2 linked regions of the Astyanax mexicanus genome follow. The protein of the gene in region 1 binds, or shares a complex with, the protein of each later gene. Links are inferred from orthologs where the notes say so. Each region holds a gene or a part of one and is shown in the gene's direction. Other genes may lie near its edges.

Region 1 (7,308 bases):
GTTTTTAATGTGGCCTAAAACATCTTGTATCTGATAAGCACATATAAAACAAAGTTACTTCTGAGAAAGTCACAACACAAATTAAATAACAGTATTATGATTGACAATATGATTAAAAATATAACATCACAATATAGCGACTGCCGAAAAGCAATGTCTCTCAAATGTAAAGCCACCACAGGTCTAGCACCTCTGCTGGCTGGTTGCAGTATGAAGTGTAGCTCTAACTGTCTATGAACATCTTTAAACGTGACGTTTAATCACTGGTGTGTGCTGATAGACTCTCTCGCAGCAGCTCATGGTTTTTAACTCAAACATAGTAACTTCAGTTTACATGAAACGGCAAATCAAACTGAGCTGAGCATATTCTTTATCACAATGTCAAAATTGTTCATGATATACAGCTCTGAAAAAATTTAAATGACCACTTTAATTTCTGAATCAGTTTCTCTGATTTTGCTATTTATAGGTATAGGTATGTTTGAGTCAGATGAAAATTGTTGTTTTATTCTATAAACTATGGACAACATTTCTCTCAAATTCCAAATCTAAATATTATTTTATGTAATTTAGAGTATTTATCTGCAATTAAATGAGAAATGGCTGAAATAACAAAGACGATGCAGAGCTTTCAGACCTCAAATAATGCAAAGAAAACAAGTTTCAGAAATCAATATTTCGTGGAATCATCTGGTTTTTAATCACAGTTTTCATGCATCTTGGCATGTTCTTCTCCACCAGTCTTACATGCTGCTTTTGGATAACTTTATGCCACTCCTGATGCAAAAATCAAAGCAGTTCAGCTTGGTTTGATGGCTTGTGAGCATCTATTTCCCTCTTGATTATATTCCAGAGGTTTACATTTTTTAAGTGGTCTCTTATTTTTTTCCAGAGCTGTATAATAAAACACTGTCATACTGCCCACCTTTAAAATATTACTATAATAGTAGGGTAGTAGTAATAAATATGTATGTAAAATATATCACCATATTTCATCTTAAATTGAAAAGAGCACAATTAATCTTTAGTTGAAATAAGTGCATCACAGTAAACATAACTAAATATAGTACAGTGCAAAACATGCCAGTCTATCTTTCTCTGCCGTATTGCCTGAGAGTCTTAATTAGGTAACACTGTGTGCTAGAGAAAACCATCTGGACAGATGCACAGCTGTAAACAAACTCTTCAGTACGTCACTATTTCCCTCAAGACCAGTCTGCCTTGCTTGTGTTTTGTTGTTTCTTTGGACTTGAATTTGCACAGCAGGTGGAATTCTACTCTTCTCACTTTGGCTAAAGATTTCCTTCATTCTGCTCACCTTCAGACGGATGCTCAAAGCCACAGTCCACTATGGCCCTCAGAAGCTCAGGCTTCAGAAGAAAGTCCCTGAACCCTGAGGAGTGGATGGACACATAAGAGCCTTTGACCCCCTCCTTTCTTATGGTCATGGCACCACTGTCACCGGCAAGCGTTCCATCCCCGACGCCACCTGCTGCATCTACTTCATCCTCCTCATAGTCTAACAGCTCGTTCTCCACGTCGTTCTCAGTCATTCTGAAAAAGGGGAAAACACTAATTAAACATTTAGCCTGTAGATCATTACCCTGAGAGCAAAGAACGGTATACGGATATATGAATAGAATACAAACATAATATACATATTTAATTTAAGTCAAGTTTAATACAAACAATAAATATAAAATCATAATTTTGAATCAATGTTTGAATCAAAGTTTACACATAAATAAATTCTGGCAATCAACATTGTTTCAACATATGTAAATGTTGATTCGGGAGCTGAGTGGTACAGCAAGCTAAGTGCTGCAACTATGATCAGGAGATTGCTGGTTTGAATCCAGGACATGCAGCTTGCCATCTGCTGCCAGAGCCCCGAGAGAGCACAACTGGCTTTGCACTCTCTAGGTGGGTAGATGGCGCTCTTTTCCCCTGATCACAGAGACTGACATGACTTTATTCCTTTCAGCAATATTTGCTGCACTCTAAAAAACTATAAACTATCTACCTCAGTAACTGCTGTGATTATATATGTTCTATATGTTACAGTATGTTACACATCTCTGCACCTTATCCTCACTAAACACTCTATTATACCGTATCGGTACTGCACTGTCCTGTCTTTAAATTGTCTCGTCTTTTGTATTTATTGTATTTATTATTATTTAGTGTTATAATTTTATCTGTCGTCACTCCTGCACTTTATGTTGTCTATTGCTTGTTGTTCTATGTTGCACCATGGTTCCGGAGGAACGTAATTTTATTAAACTGTGTACCTGTACTCAGATGTAATGACAATAAAAGCCTTGACTTGACTTGACTTGACTTGATCAGCACAAGGCACCTGTGAGCTGATGTATCAGAATCAAATTGCTGCGCTTATGCTCTGATAAAATACTGACTGATACTATATTAGGATACTGATATATAGCTGCTCAAAAAGGCACGAACAGTAAAACTGATGTAAGTAAACATCTGCACTGCAAAATCTAAACATGAAGGGAAGTCATACAATATTATATTGCCCAAGCAATAAGAAGATTTTGTAAAGAAACATTATTCTGTAAGTATCAACATAACTGTGTTCAAATTGTTAAATATAAATATTATTTTATGATACACAAAATGAGTATTTCTCGAATTGTATTATGATTAGGCATTTAAATGTGTTGATATTTACTTAATTAAAGGATCAATATTTGCAGATATCATATTCTTTATTACAGTTTAAGACAAGCCTAATATGCACATATTCCTTAAAAGCTATTTTGCCATCAATTTGTAGCTTTTACAGTAAAGTATTGACATTTTAGAGACTCTGTATTGTATGCTAAGATACTAAGGTTCTGTTTAACCTGTATTAACTATTTAGTAGGGATGCTAGGGGTGGGCAATATTATATCGTATACAATATATCGTGACACAGAAATATCGTGATATTAAAAAATCCATATCGTGATAATAGGGCTGTTCTGTCTTAAAAGTAGTCTATTATTTACTGTGAAGCTTTAGGTGTATTTATTGTATAATTGTTTTAGTTTGCAGTTTATATGCATGCACTAAATATTCTGCAATATTTTTGCTGCATTATATTATTTTATGCTATATTATTTATTTTGCCACATTATGATTATGCTGTTATACTCTTATACTATATTCCTGAAATTAATTAATTATTTTAGTTTTCCTACATCGCCAAGTATATAGTTACCGCAAAACTACCCTGAAATATCGTGATATTATTTTATAGACATATTGCCCACCCCTAAGTGATGCACAATGATATCGGCCAATACTATTATTTTTTTAGAATATTCAGCAATGATATGGAAATATGGCTATTATTTTAAACCAATACTTACTTACATATTTATTGTATTCCAGAATTTTTTATTATAAATGTGTATATCGGATATAGACATCGGCCCAGAATTTTCACATCGCTTCGTCCCTACTATTTAGAAAGATAAAAAAGAAGATCATATGATTAATTATCTGTAAATTAGATTTAGTAAATATTTGGTAAAATCTCAATTGCTAATGTCATCACTAGTCACAATCCCAAACCAAATAAAAAAAAATATAAAATTTTTACATAAAAATATAAAAAAACATCTGAAACTGAATATAAATTAGTTAATATTATTTTTTTATAGCTTCTCCAAGTGTCCTGTATGAGACTTTAAAGCCCTCAAATTTTCAGAATGTAATTAAGTTATTTTACTGCAGAAAAAAGGGTTTTGTATCACCTGCACCTGTAGCTCGTATACGGGAGAAGGCATTAGGCACATATGGCAACAACCAACGTGTTTTGCTATTTAAAAAAGCAGTAATAATATTGTACCATAGCAATTTTATATGAAAATATAATCAATACATATATAATCAATACTGCACAGCCTTGATGGGCAACATTAAATATAATACCCACAGCTGACGGATATGACCATATTAATTATAAAAATGATTGTAATGAATGGATGAAGTTTGCAGGTTTCAGTATATCAGCTGCACAGGGCTGCTGTGTATATATCTGCAGCAGCATGTGTTTACAGAGCAGCTCACACGCGCTGCTGCACTACAGACTGGTGCACAGAACAACACAGCCAGCGCTGCATGTGTTTAACCGCATTTTATCAGATATAAACCCTCATTTACCTGGATTAACTGTGAGACACTCCGCGGTGTGTTTTTATTTCACCTGCTCGCTGCTGCTGCTCCCCTGCACGTCATTTGCTCTGAGACGAAGGGCCTCCCTCCCACCAGCAGCTAGAGCTGTCCTCCGCTCCGCCTGAGCTCAGCTCCGCAGGCCGGCTTCTGCTCTCAGGGATCTGTCGCTCAACTCCTCCGCTTTCCAGCTCGGCTTTAGCGACACTACTGGATTTAAGAGCTTGTTTAGACGGTAAGTTAAGTGGGTGGAAACCGCAGAATGTCGGGTTTAGTTGTGTTGGTAAACACGTGTTTAGGTGTAGTTGATAGCTAAAGTTGGCTTCTTAAGCGAAATATTCGTTCCACCTTAAATCGTGCTGTATTTACACGGGCAGCCGTTGAGGCACGAGACTATAACTGCTGAGTCTTTTAAGGTGGAACTGAAGTTTTCGTCTTGTCGTGGTTAGCATGGGTGCTAACTTCTTTTCTTCTCAACTTGGATTAATTACTTTAGTTAGCATAAGTCACACATTTGGATCACTTGTGTGTTTTAAAATTGTTTTATTATCTACATTTTCATTCTTTTTTTCTTTTTCTTCTTTTCTTTTTACAATAAACCAATGATAATACAAGTTATTAAAATTTAACTGGAACTTTCCTTCCACGTAAAAAAAAATCCAGCTGTTGCATACAGTTGTCATATAGTTTGCTATATTAAAGGTTTCATGCCATCGTTTTTTCATTTATTTTATTTTATTTCTGGTTGTGGTCTTCAGTATGAATAAAAAAAATAAAAAAATCTGTTGTTTTAGTATTTAGCGGCTTTAGTCCGGTGGAGGAGTGGGAGGGAGAAACATGTGTTGTTACTCTAGTCTCAGAGTTTCTGTAAAACACAAAATCCACTGGAGATCCTATGTAAACTATAGTTACACAGAGGTGGGTAACGTTAGTCCAGTTCCAGAAAGTAAAAATCCATTTTTTAAATGTTTAACTAGTGTAAACAGAACTGTTTTTAAACATACACTGACCTATCTCAGTTGGACTTCGCTGGAGGTGTACCATAGACAGATTTTAACCATTTTTCCTTATGTCTGTATACTTCCGGAGTTTACTATAGCAAGTAATTGTAACGTTATAGTGTTTATGGTTCAAGAAAACATATAGTCACAATAATGCATGAATTAATATCCTGTTATGCCTCATCGCATATGCTCAAAGTAATTGTAAGTGGATAAAATGTATATACAGAATGTAGAAATGTATATAGTGTTATAGTCACAAATGTGTGTTTACAGCTAATTAGTTAAATATGGTTTTATGTAAAGTTACTTACTGGTACATAAGTTTGTGTGTATTTGTTTTAGTAATGCTGATGTGAACATATTAATAATTATCATGAAGTAGGATTGTCATGTATAACTTTACAAATTAGTATTTTAATTTAATGTTTGATGATGTGCATTTATTTCCACTCTTGATGTAGGACCATGTCTTGCTTCCAAGGAGATATAAACTTCTGTCCTGAATGTGGTAATATTCTACCAGTCCCTGGAATTCAGAATACCATTACATGTCCTCGGTGCTCATTCGACATTCCTGCCAGTGGTGAGATTTCATTTTGGCCTAAAGATATTTAGATATACTTAGTGGCCACTATTAGAAAAACCTTCATGTTGGGGGAAACCGGCCAGCATGGCCAGCTTAAATCAGCTTGTTGATCAGCATATAGTATGTTTTGTTTGATGTTTCAGCTGGTCAACAAACATGATCAACCTGGCCAACCTTACCAGTATGTTTTTGACTAGATAACTGGCTTGTCAACAATTTTGATCATCAAATATCAGCATAGATCATCTAAAGCCAGACACCAGTAAAAGCTGGTCTGCAACTGGATTTTTGATCAAGCTGATTTGACGTTCCACCTTGCTGGTGTACAATAAAAGACCATAGCCCATCTGTTGATGGACTGTTCTTGTTATTTTGTAGTGGCAGAGCTACTACCTAGCAGTGGCATTAATTTGAACATGTCATCACCATCCAGATCCAATTAACGTCTGCTCAGAGTTATGTGGTAGGTGTACCCTCATAGCGTGTTTGGAGAAAGAATGGACAAGGAAGGAGTTTGTAATTAAGTAGACAATCTGAGAAATATACAGGGGGATTTTTACCTACAGCCAGGACAATGTTTAAGTCAACTTTTTTTTCTCCTCAGGTTTTGCTGGGCAGGTTATCAAGTCATCTGTAGTATTTAATCCGTTGGTGCAGAGTTCTACTACTGTGGAGAGTGAGGAGGATTCTGAACTAAAAGGCCCTGTGGTAAGTTGCCTAAATTTAACACTAAAAAATTTTGTTAAATAATCTTTGCCCTGCAACAGTTGTTTAAAGAGTGAACAGTGGACAAAAAACATTAGGGAATGTGAGCATTTATAATTGTTATCTTCTTCTATGCAAATTCTTCACCAGGTGGACAGAAGGTGTTCACGCTGCAATAAAGAAGGAATGGTATACCACACAAGGCAAATGAGATCAGCAGATGAAGGCCAAACGGTGTTTTTCACGTGTATTCACTGCAGGTAATGTCAGAGTGACTCCATTAATAACTCATACTGCTAAATGCATTGATTTCTCTGAGGTGCAGGGGTGCTCTGAACAGAGTAAGGTTTATATTGATTCTTTTTCCACAAATCAAGGCAGAGTGAAAATGAGAGAGGCAAGAACATCTGTGTTTAAGTTTCAATTTGTCATTCCACTTACATGAACAAGACAACATACAGTTTTTCTGCCACAATCTATAAGAAATCACAGAAATCTACAGAAGCTAATTTCTTTTTTATTTCAATGTTTACATTACAGGCACCAAGAGAAGGAAGATTCATGAGATGTTTGGTGTTGTCCGACTTGTATTTGATCATTGATCAACAACGTGAATCCAATATTGTGTCTGCACAAGATGTAATGGAAAAAGACGCCACAAGGACTTGGACATTTTTGCTGTACATTCAAAATGTTTTGTATCAAAAAGAAATGAATAAAAAATGTAATATAAAAAATGTGAGAAGCACAAGCATATGTCTTTCTTTTTACCTTGTTATTTCTGTCTATATCTGCAGTAGACATTTGTAGTAATAGCAGTCTTGTGTTCAG
Region 2 (7,264 bases), on another chromosome or scaffold:
AAAACCGGCTCTGCTCACCTGTATTAGAAGTTCGGCCGTGGGTGGATCAGCGTCCGGTGCTGCCCTTCTGTCAGACTCGTCGTCAGAAGTCGGGGTCACCAATCTGTTGTAGAAATGAAAATTGAAAGGTGGGTCCGCACCCACCTCTCGCCTGGGGGCTACAACTCCCTTACGTGTTCGCTGAACAGAGAGTCTCAGACAGATGGAGTAAAGTTGAAAGCAAAACAAGTATTTATTATAACAGCTGGTACCAGGAGAACACAAATGAGCGGTCGTTGACCGTTCCCCGATATGCTCTGAACCCCCGTCATCTGACTCCCATGTTTTAAACCCAAAATGACGTGAACACCTGGTGATGAGGCGTTGCTGAAATTATCTTATGTCAGCATGCATGGTGTTATGTTGTTAGGGCTGAAGATTCGCTGATGGCTCAAGATTTGCTGGTGTTTTGGCCTTGGAGAAACAGCACGGCTTTGTTCAGTAATTAGACAGTGTTTCACTCCCTGCGCACATGTCCTCCCTCACTTGACAGGTGAAGGCCTTCACGCGCACAGAGAGAGAAAGACTGTACTGTTTGTCAAACGTCTTTTGTATTTAAGCAAGGCCATGCAGAATGCACTATCTGCTGATTTTGTAGCTGTTAGTTAGAAAACATGCAATCACACAATGTGGTTCAGTGAGGCGTCAGTGGCGCGTGATTAGTCAGCCATATAATAGGTTCCCATACGTTAGCAAAAACTCCCTTATGTTATGTATCATGTGGGTTAGTTTGTCAGACTAAGGTCTGTGTCAGTCACATGCTTGTGAAAAACAATGTCTTACTATATGTGTGGTTTAGAGGTTAGTTTTCTATATAAATGTGTAAAAAATATACTGTGAGCGATAAAATGATCAAATATAGTGTTAGTATAAATGTGTGAATAATATGTGAATAATAAAATGATCAAATGTGGTGTAAGTATTGGTTAATGCATATAAAATACAAGGTTTTCACAGATGGTAAGTAATCATGATTGTTAGGTGTTTGTCAATATATTTCAAGGTAAACAAGGTTTCTTCGTAAGATTTCCCACAACAGTGTTTGAAAAATACTCAAATGTATTAGTCAGAAAGTAAAATAAATTACAATGGGAAAATTCTACCTATTTTACTCATTTGTAAACAGTAACAACTAAAACTTAAAAATGTATAAGAACATATACTCAGATACTATCGGTCCCCTGTGCACTTGTTGTGGAGTTGAGCTGCTGTTTTAAAGGTAAGATTTGTTAACATGTTTCTGTGTATGAGCTCAAAAGTTGATGTATGTAAGTATTAGTTCTATATTAAGATCTGTACTCAGTGTGCTCGAGTATAACGATGATTTTCACCTTCTGGCACAGGCTGGCTCTTGTAGCAGGTTAATTATTAACACATGTAGCCAGTGCTAACCCCTCTGTTCAAGCAAAGTTAGCTAAGTCTAGCTAGATTTACTGCTCAGCTGCTCAGCCCTAATAATAAACTGTAGCGCTATCTAGCAGTTTACAAAGTAGCAGTGTGCAGGTTCGTGGTTAAAGCGTTAGTTACTTTAAACAAGCTAGTTATCCACTACATGTTGTATTATTGGGGAAATATGTACATGGGCATGGTTTGCATATAGCTAATGCTAATTAGGTAACTAGCTTACCTAGCGCATTCACTGTTGAACATAATATCAGGCTTTTGACTCTTTGTTTGTTTGTTTCAAGACGAGTTCTATTGTCGATTATTGACGCATGTTTTAGTCAGTATAACAGGGTAGAGGTCACTGGTATAGCTTTTTGCTTCCAAATAAGTGAAGTTCGCAGAGGTTCTCACTCCCAGCTGGATAAATTAACTAGTTACTTTGCTAATGCTAGCTAATCTAGGTTAACTAGCTAGCTAAAGCATTTGGCTAGCGTGCTAATTTGTTGTGTGTAAGAGGTTGAAGACTGGATAAATTAACTAGTTAAATTATTTTGCTAACACTACCTTACCCAGCCTAGGTTACTTAGCTAGCTAAACCATTTGGCTAGCGTGCTAATAGAGAATAGAATCGTGATGTCAGCAGACATGAACAACGCAGTGCATTGTGGGATTTTAGGAAACTGATACTATGGCAGAGACAGGCAGAAATATATCTCTATATATATATGGTGATTAGTGGATAAATTAGCAGAGTTAATTTAGTGTGTGAAAGTGGAAGGTGGTTGGATAAATTACTAATCTAGGTCGGTTAGCTAACTTATCCAACCACCACCCTCTTCCACACACCGAGTTAGCTAGTGTGCTAGTGAAAACACTTTCCTAGTGAATTAGCTAGCTAGTTTAGTGTGTGGAGAAGGGTGGTTGTTAGATAAGTAAGATTGTTAACTAGCTATCAAGCTGGATAAGTCATTATGGTGATATTTCAATAGGTATAAGAGGCATGCACAGTGTGCTGGAGTTTCAAAAATAATTATGTTGCTAATAATTAGTAATTCCAAATGCACAACAACCCTTTCATTACCAGTGATTTTCTAGTTAAATAGCTAAGTGGTAAAAAGTTGAAACATGCTAGTTTTGTTGGTGCCAAGTTCTGCACTAGTTTTAGAAGCAGAGACTGTAGTTAAGGAGCTGGTTGGCAGTTTAAGAGTGACATTTACACAGTCTGATAAAGTAACTGAACTAATAATTTCAGTTGTATGAAAGTAAATGTGGACTCTTCTCTGTCTGCAAATCTGTGTGTGAAGGTCTAAATGTTCTTTCCTGTGTTCTTTGGGTATACCAGTTTTCATAAAAGATATATAAACTTTACAAACCATTTGTAAATGTTTATGAAGAGGCTGCCTGACTAAATTGAACACTGAATGATGTGCTGAAGCATAAGACTGTTTTTTGTGTAACTAATAATTATGAAGTAAAAAAAAAAAGTCCTGAACATAATGTTTGTTGCAAGGCCATACATTTTCTGTTGATTTAGTTCATTTGCAGCACTGCTCCTCACTCAATGCTGTGTACAAGCCAGCGTTTACAGACCCGTCACAAATTACTCCCTGCATCCTGCACTTAAACCCACCAGTCCAATAACATGTAGCGCTATAGGGACGATTTTTGGGACCTAGCCCATTTACTGGTGTATCTTGTAACATCAGTAGAATTCTCTTTGTCTATATTTCACACCTGATAGTTCCTAGATTGGCCTTTTCTATTCCCATCTCGGGACATGCTTTTCACTAGAACTACAATTCCCAGCAAATGAAAAAATCTCTTTTTCATGCTCTGCAGAATTCTATAACTGTTGTCTTCTGTTAATTTCCATGTGTATGTAAGACTGTTTATTGTGTTGTTTTTTTGTGTATTGCCTCTGTTTATCCAGCATTCTCTTATGGTTTATATTTTTGTGTATTGCCCTCTTGAGAATTAAATCCTCATCTACTTTTTACCGCAAGTATCTGACGTCAGTCAAAAATTATACAATCAGTTCTACAGAAATCACACACTAATTCTATTACTAGAATATATCTGTCTGTTTTGAATTATCTGAGTGTAGCTCACAGCAGCAGAACACATTCAGTAATAAATTATTAATGATGCACTTATACTAATGAATCCATTATTATTAAAAATGTTAGTATGTCTCTAGAGCTCTAAAGCAATATAGTAAGAATATTATATCCTGTGTCGGTTCTAGACCATTTCAACACGGGGGCCAGTGGTCTAGGGCCAGTGTGCTATATGATTTTACAGTGCTTTGCAGCATTAAGAATAAAGAGTTTGCATTCAGTATCATTCAATTTTTAATTTAGGAATGATTCTTACGTTATTCGCTCATATTTCATACAAACAGATGAACAAAAATCATCGTTAAAACTTTTGCTTTGCTTTAAAGTGTTGTACCTTTTTCTGTTTCATACACAATTTACATCAACAAATCAACATATTCTCAGTTTTAAGGTCAGATTATATTTTTACATTATTTATATATACATAATTTGCCTAGAATAAAATGTAGATATTACAGATGTATGAATTCCACTGATATTAGAGTTATTTGTTCTGAGTTACAATATATTTTCCAGCTACACTAGTTTTAGTTCAGTTTCTTACGTTTTCTTTTGTTACACTCATTGATTAATGCGTTTATCTGTTTCAATAAGCTTTTATTTTGTTATAAACTCTATATTTTCTCAAACTAGTTTATTAGTTAGTAGTTCATTTAGAGACTCAAAACTGAAAAAAGACTTTTATTTTGATAGAAAATCGTTTTGAGTGCTGAGGAACGTTGTGTTTCCGGTGTTGTGTTTGAGTCCGGATATATTTCTGAGGAACACCGAGTGTTGAGCGTGGTGGCTAAAGTGCGGGTGAGTGTTTATAATTATTATAATATTTGTAACATTTTACTGATAATTATATTCAGTATTAAACACAGTCCGTTGCAGCGCAGTTCACTCCGCGGGTTTAGCCCGGCGAGATTTACTGTGGACTGGGGTAAAATGCGGAATCCGTTAAAGTATTGTGTACTAATCTACATACCGTACTTACACAGATAACTAAGTTAACTATGTAGGTACTATCATTAATTCATGACTGTATTCTTTAATTCATTTATTTACTCTTTTATTCATTAATTTCCTCTAATTTATTGGTTTATTCTTTCATGTATTAATTTCCTATTTTATTGATTAATTTAATCTCTTATTCATTAAGTTACTCTTTAATTCCTTAATTAGCTTTTTATTTATAAACTTGTTCTTAATTAATTAACTTGGTCATGCTCTGTAACTTAATTTTAAGCGCAAAATCATAAGTCTCCTTCACTAGAGAGAGACATATTTTTATACACATTTAGCTACTGTTAATTTACTGAATTTAGAACATGTTATAATTAAGTGTATAAAGAAATAGTAAATAGATGCTGTGTCTAAATGGAAAAAGCCTTTTTAATTAAAAAAAAAAAAGATTTCTTCACCTTGCCCAAACACACGAGAAGCATGTTATTATAATTATTAGTGTCTCACAGAGAATTCTAATTTAATAATATAACACAAATGAAAATGCTTTTAGTGTATTAAACCAAGTTAGCAATAAAAATGCAAAACCCAGTTCTACTGATTATTCAAATCTGTTATATTTTAATTATAGCACTGTATTAAAAATGTTCCATTATTCAAATTTCAGTGAACTATGGTGTGTGTAGTAGTGTTAGAAATTAAGAGTATTAGAAGTTGAGTTGCTTTGAACAGTGCTTTAGATTTCCATACAGAATGAAAGGTAGATATAGATTATATAGCTGCATCTTTCTTACATTTTCTTTTTTTTCTTACATTTTTCTTAATCTTGTTAGTATGACTGTTTACCTTTACAGATTGGTCTATTTAGAAATGTATTCTGTTTGTTTTAGTTCAGAGAACATGTTGAAGGAATTGACAAAGTATAAATAAAATATGGAGACCAACAGCCCAAAGTAATCCAGTTCCTTACAGATATCACCTGTGGCTTCCAGTACTTTAAACACTAAAATTAATTTGATTTAATTCTGATTCCAGATTAACAAAGCATCTCTTCAGGATGATTATCCCAGTGCGATGCTTCACCTGCGGGAAGATTGTGGGCAACAAGTGGGAGGCTTATTTAGGTCTCCTTCAGGCAGAGTACACAGAGGGGTGAGTGTTGAGTAGAATGAGCTGCTTTAGAGAAATATAACACCATCGATATCGTCACAGGATTTAATATGCAACTATTTACTTACATGCATTTCTTCTCCATGAATAGGTTTAAAATAAGTTTTTTTAGACTTTTCCCCAGAACATGTGTAACAGTGTCTGGGGAGGTGGATCTTTTACCACCACTGTGAACAAAATGTAACTGCAGAGGTTCTCTAAAACTCACCGTCTTACACCAAACCCATTTAGGATGGGTAACTGTTTAATAATAGTTCTGTACAGTGGCGTGAAAAAGTATTTTGCCCCCCTACAGATTTTTTTTTGTTTTTGCTTTTTTGGTCATAGTGTGATTTTTCTGATTATCAAACAAACTTTAATATCAGACAAAGATAAGTAAAAGTAAGTAAGGATAATTTTATTTAATAAAGGTAAAAACTATATAAACCAATCTAGCCCTGTGTGAAAAAGTGTTTACCCCTAAACCTAATAACTTGGTTGTTCCACTCTTGGCGGCAACAACTGCAGTCAAGCTTTACTGATAACTGGCAACGAGTCTTTCACATCTCTGTGGAGGCATTTTGATCCACTCTTCTTTACAGAATTGTTGTAATTTAGACACAATGTAGAGTTTTTCCAGCATGAACGGCCTGTTTAAGATCATCCACCAGCCTCTAAACGAACTTTGACTAGGTTAACTCAAAACCATTGTTTTTTTTGTGAAGCCATTCAGAGGTGGATTTAATTGTGTGTTTTGGATCATTGTCCTGCTGCAGAATCCAAGTACGCCTGAGCTTGAGGTCACAAACAGATGGCTGGACAGTGTCCTTCAGGATTGTCTGGTAAACAGCAGAATTCCTGGTTCCATCTATTACAGCAAGTTGTCTAGATCCTCACATTACCACCACCATGTTTTACGTTCAGTATGATGTACTTTTTCAGAAATTATGTGTTAGTTTTACACCAATTTATTGGGACACACACTTTCCAAAAAGTTCCACATTTTGTCCTGGCAATCATTTAAGATGTTTTTTGGCAAATGGAAGATGGGCCATTGTATTCTTTATGGTCAGCAGTGTTTATTGCCTTGGAAATTGGAGACCATTTTCATCCAGTCTCCTTTTTATTATTGAATCATTAACACTGACCTTAACTGAGGTAAATGAGACCTGCAGTTCTTTAATAGTTTTTTTTTTTTCAAGTCAAGAGGCTCTTATTGTCATTATATCTGAGTACAGGTACACAGTGTGATGAAATTATGTTCCTCCGGAACCATGGTGCAACATAGAACAACAAGCAATAGACAACATAAAGTGCAGGAGTGACGACAGTGCAACATAAAATTATAAAATTATAACACTAAATAACAATAAATACAATAAATACAAAGGACAAGACAATTTAAAGACAGGACAGTGCAGTACCGATACGGTATAATAAGTGTATAGTGGGGATAAGGTGCGGAGATGTGTGACATACTGTAACATATAGAACATATATAATCACAGCAGTTACTGAGGTAGAGTTTATAGTTTTTAAGAGTGCAGCAAATAAAGTCATGTCAGCCTCTGTGTGCTGACTGGGTGTGTGTGTGGGTGAAGTTCAGTTCTTTGTGAGTGTAAAGG

The links.
Region 2: polr1h (region 1) and polr2l share a complex: the UniProt entries of both Homo sapiens proteins name them as parts of the pol I pre-initiation complex. The link is inferred for Astyanax mexicanus from reciprocal best matches to the Homo sapiens genes POLR1H and POLR2L.

Annotation. Positions count from the first base shown.
Region 1 is NC_064410.1:37,557,023-37,564,330, reverse strand, and holds polr1h (DNA-directed RNA polymerase I subunit RPA12), read left to right. Parts: upstream 1-4,283; 5' UTR 4,284-4,417; intron 4,418-4,976; exon of another isoform or gene 4,977-5,100; intron 5,101-5,647; 5' UTR 5,648-5,651; coding exon 5,652-5,769; intron 5,770-6,376; coding exon 6,377-6,480; intron 6,481-6,627; coding exon 6,628-6,737; intron 6,738-7,017; coding exon 7,018-7,042; 3' UTR 7,043-7,228; downstream 7,229-7,308. Other genes in the region: ddx39b (DEAD (Asp-Glu-Ala-Asp) box polypeptide 39B), read right to left, coding at 1,319-1,553. UniProt on the Homo sapiens protein: Core component of RNA polymerase I (Pol I), a DNA-dependent RNA polymerase which synthesizes ribosomal RNA precursors using the four ribonucleoside triphosphates as substrates. Can mediate Pol I proofreading of the nascent RNA transcript.
Region 2 is NC_064423.1:9,009,349-9,016,612, reverse strand, and holds the start of polr2l (DNA-directed RNA polymerases I, II, and III subunit RPABC5), read left to right. Parts: upstream 1-4,235; 5' UTR 4,236-4,340; intron 4,341-5,525; 5' UTR 5,526-5,547; coding exon 5,548-5,642; intron 5,643-7,264. UniProt on the Homo sapiens protein: DNA-dependent RNA polymerase catalyzes the transcription of DNA into RNA using the four ribonucleoside triphosphates as substrates.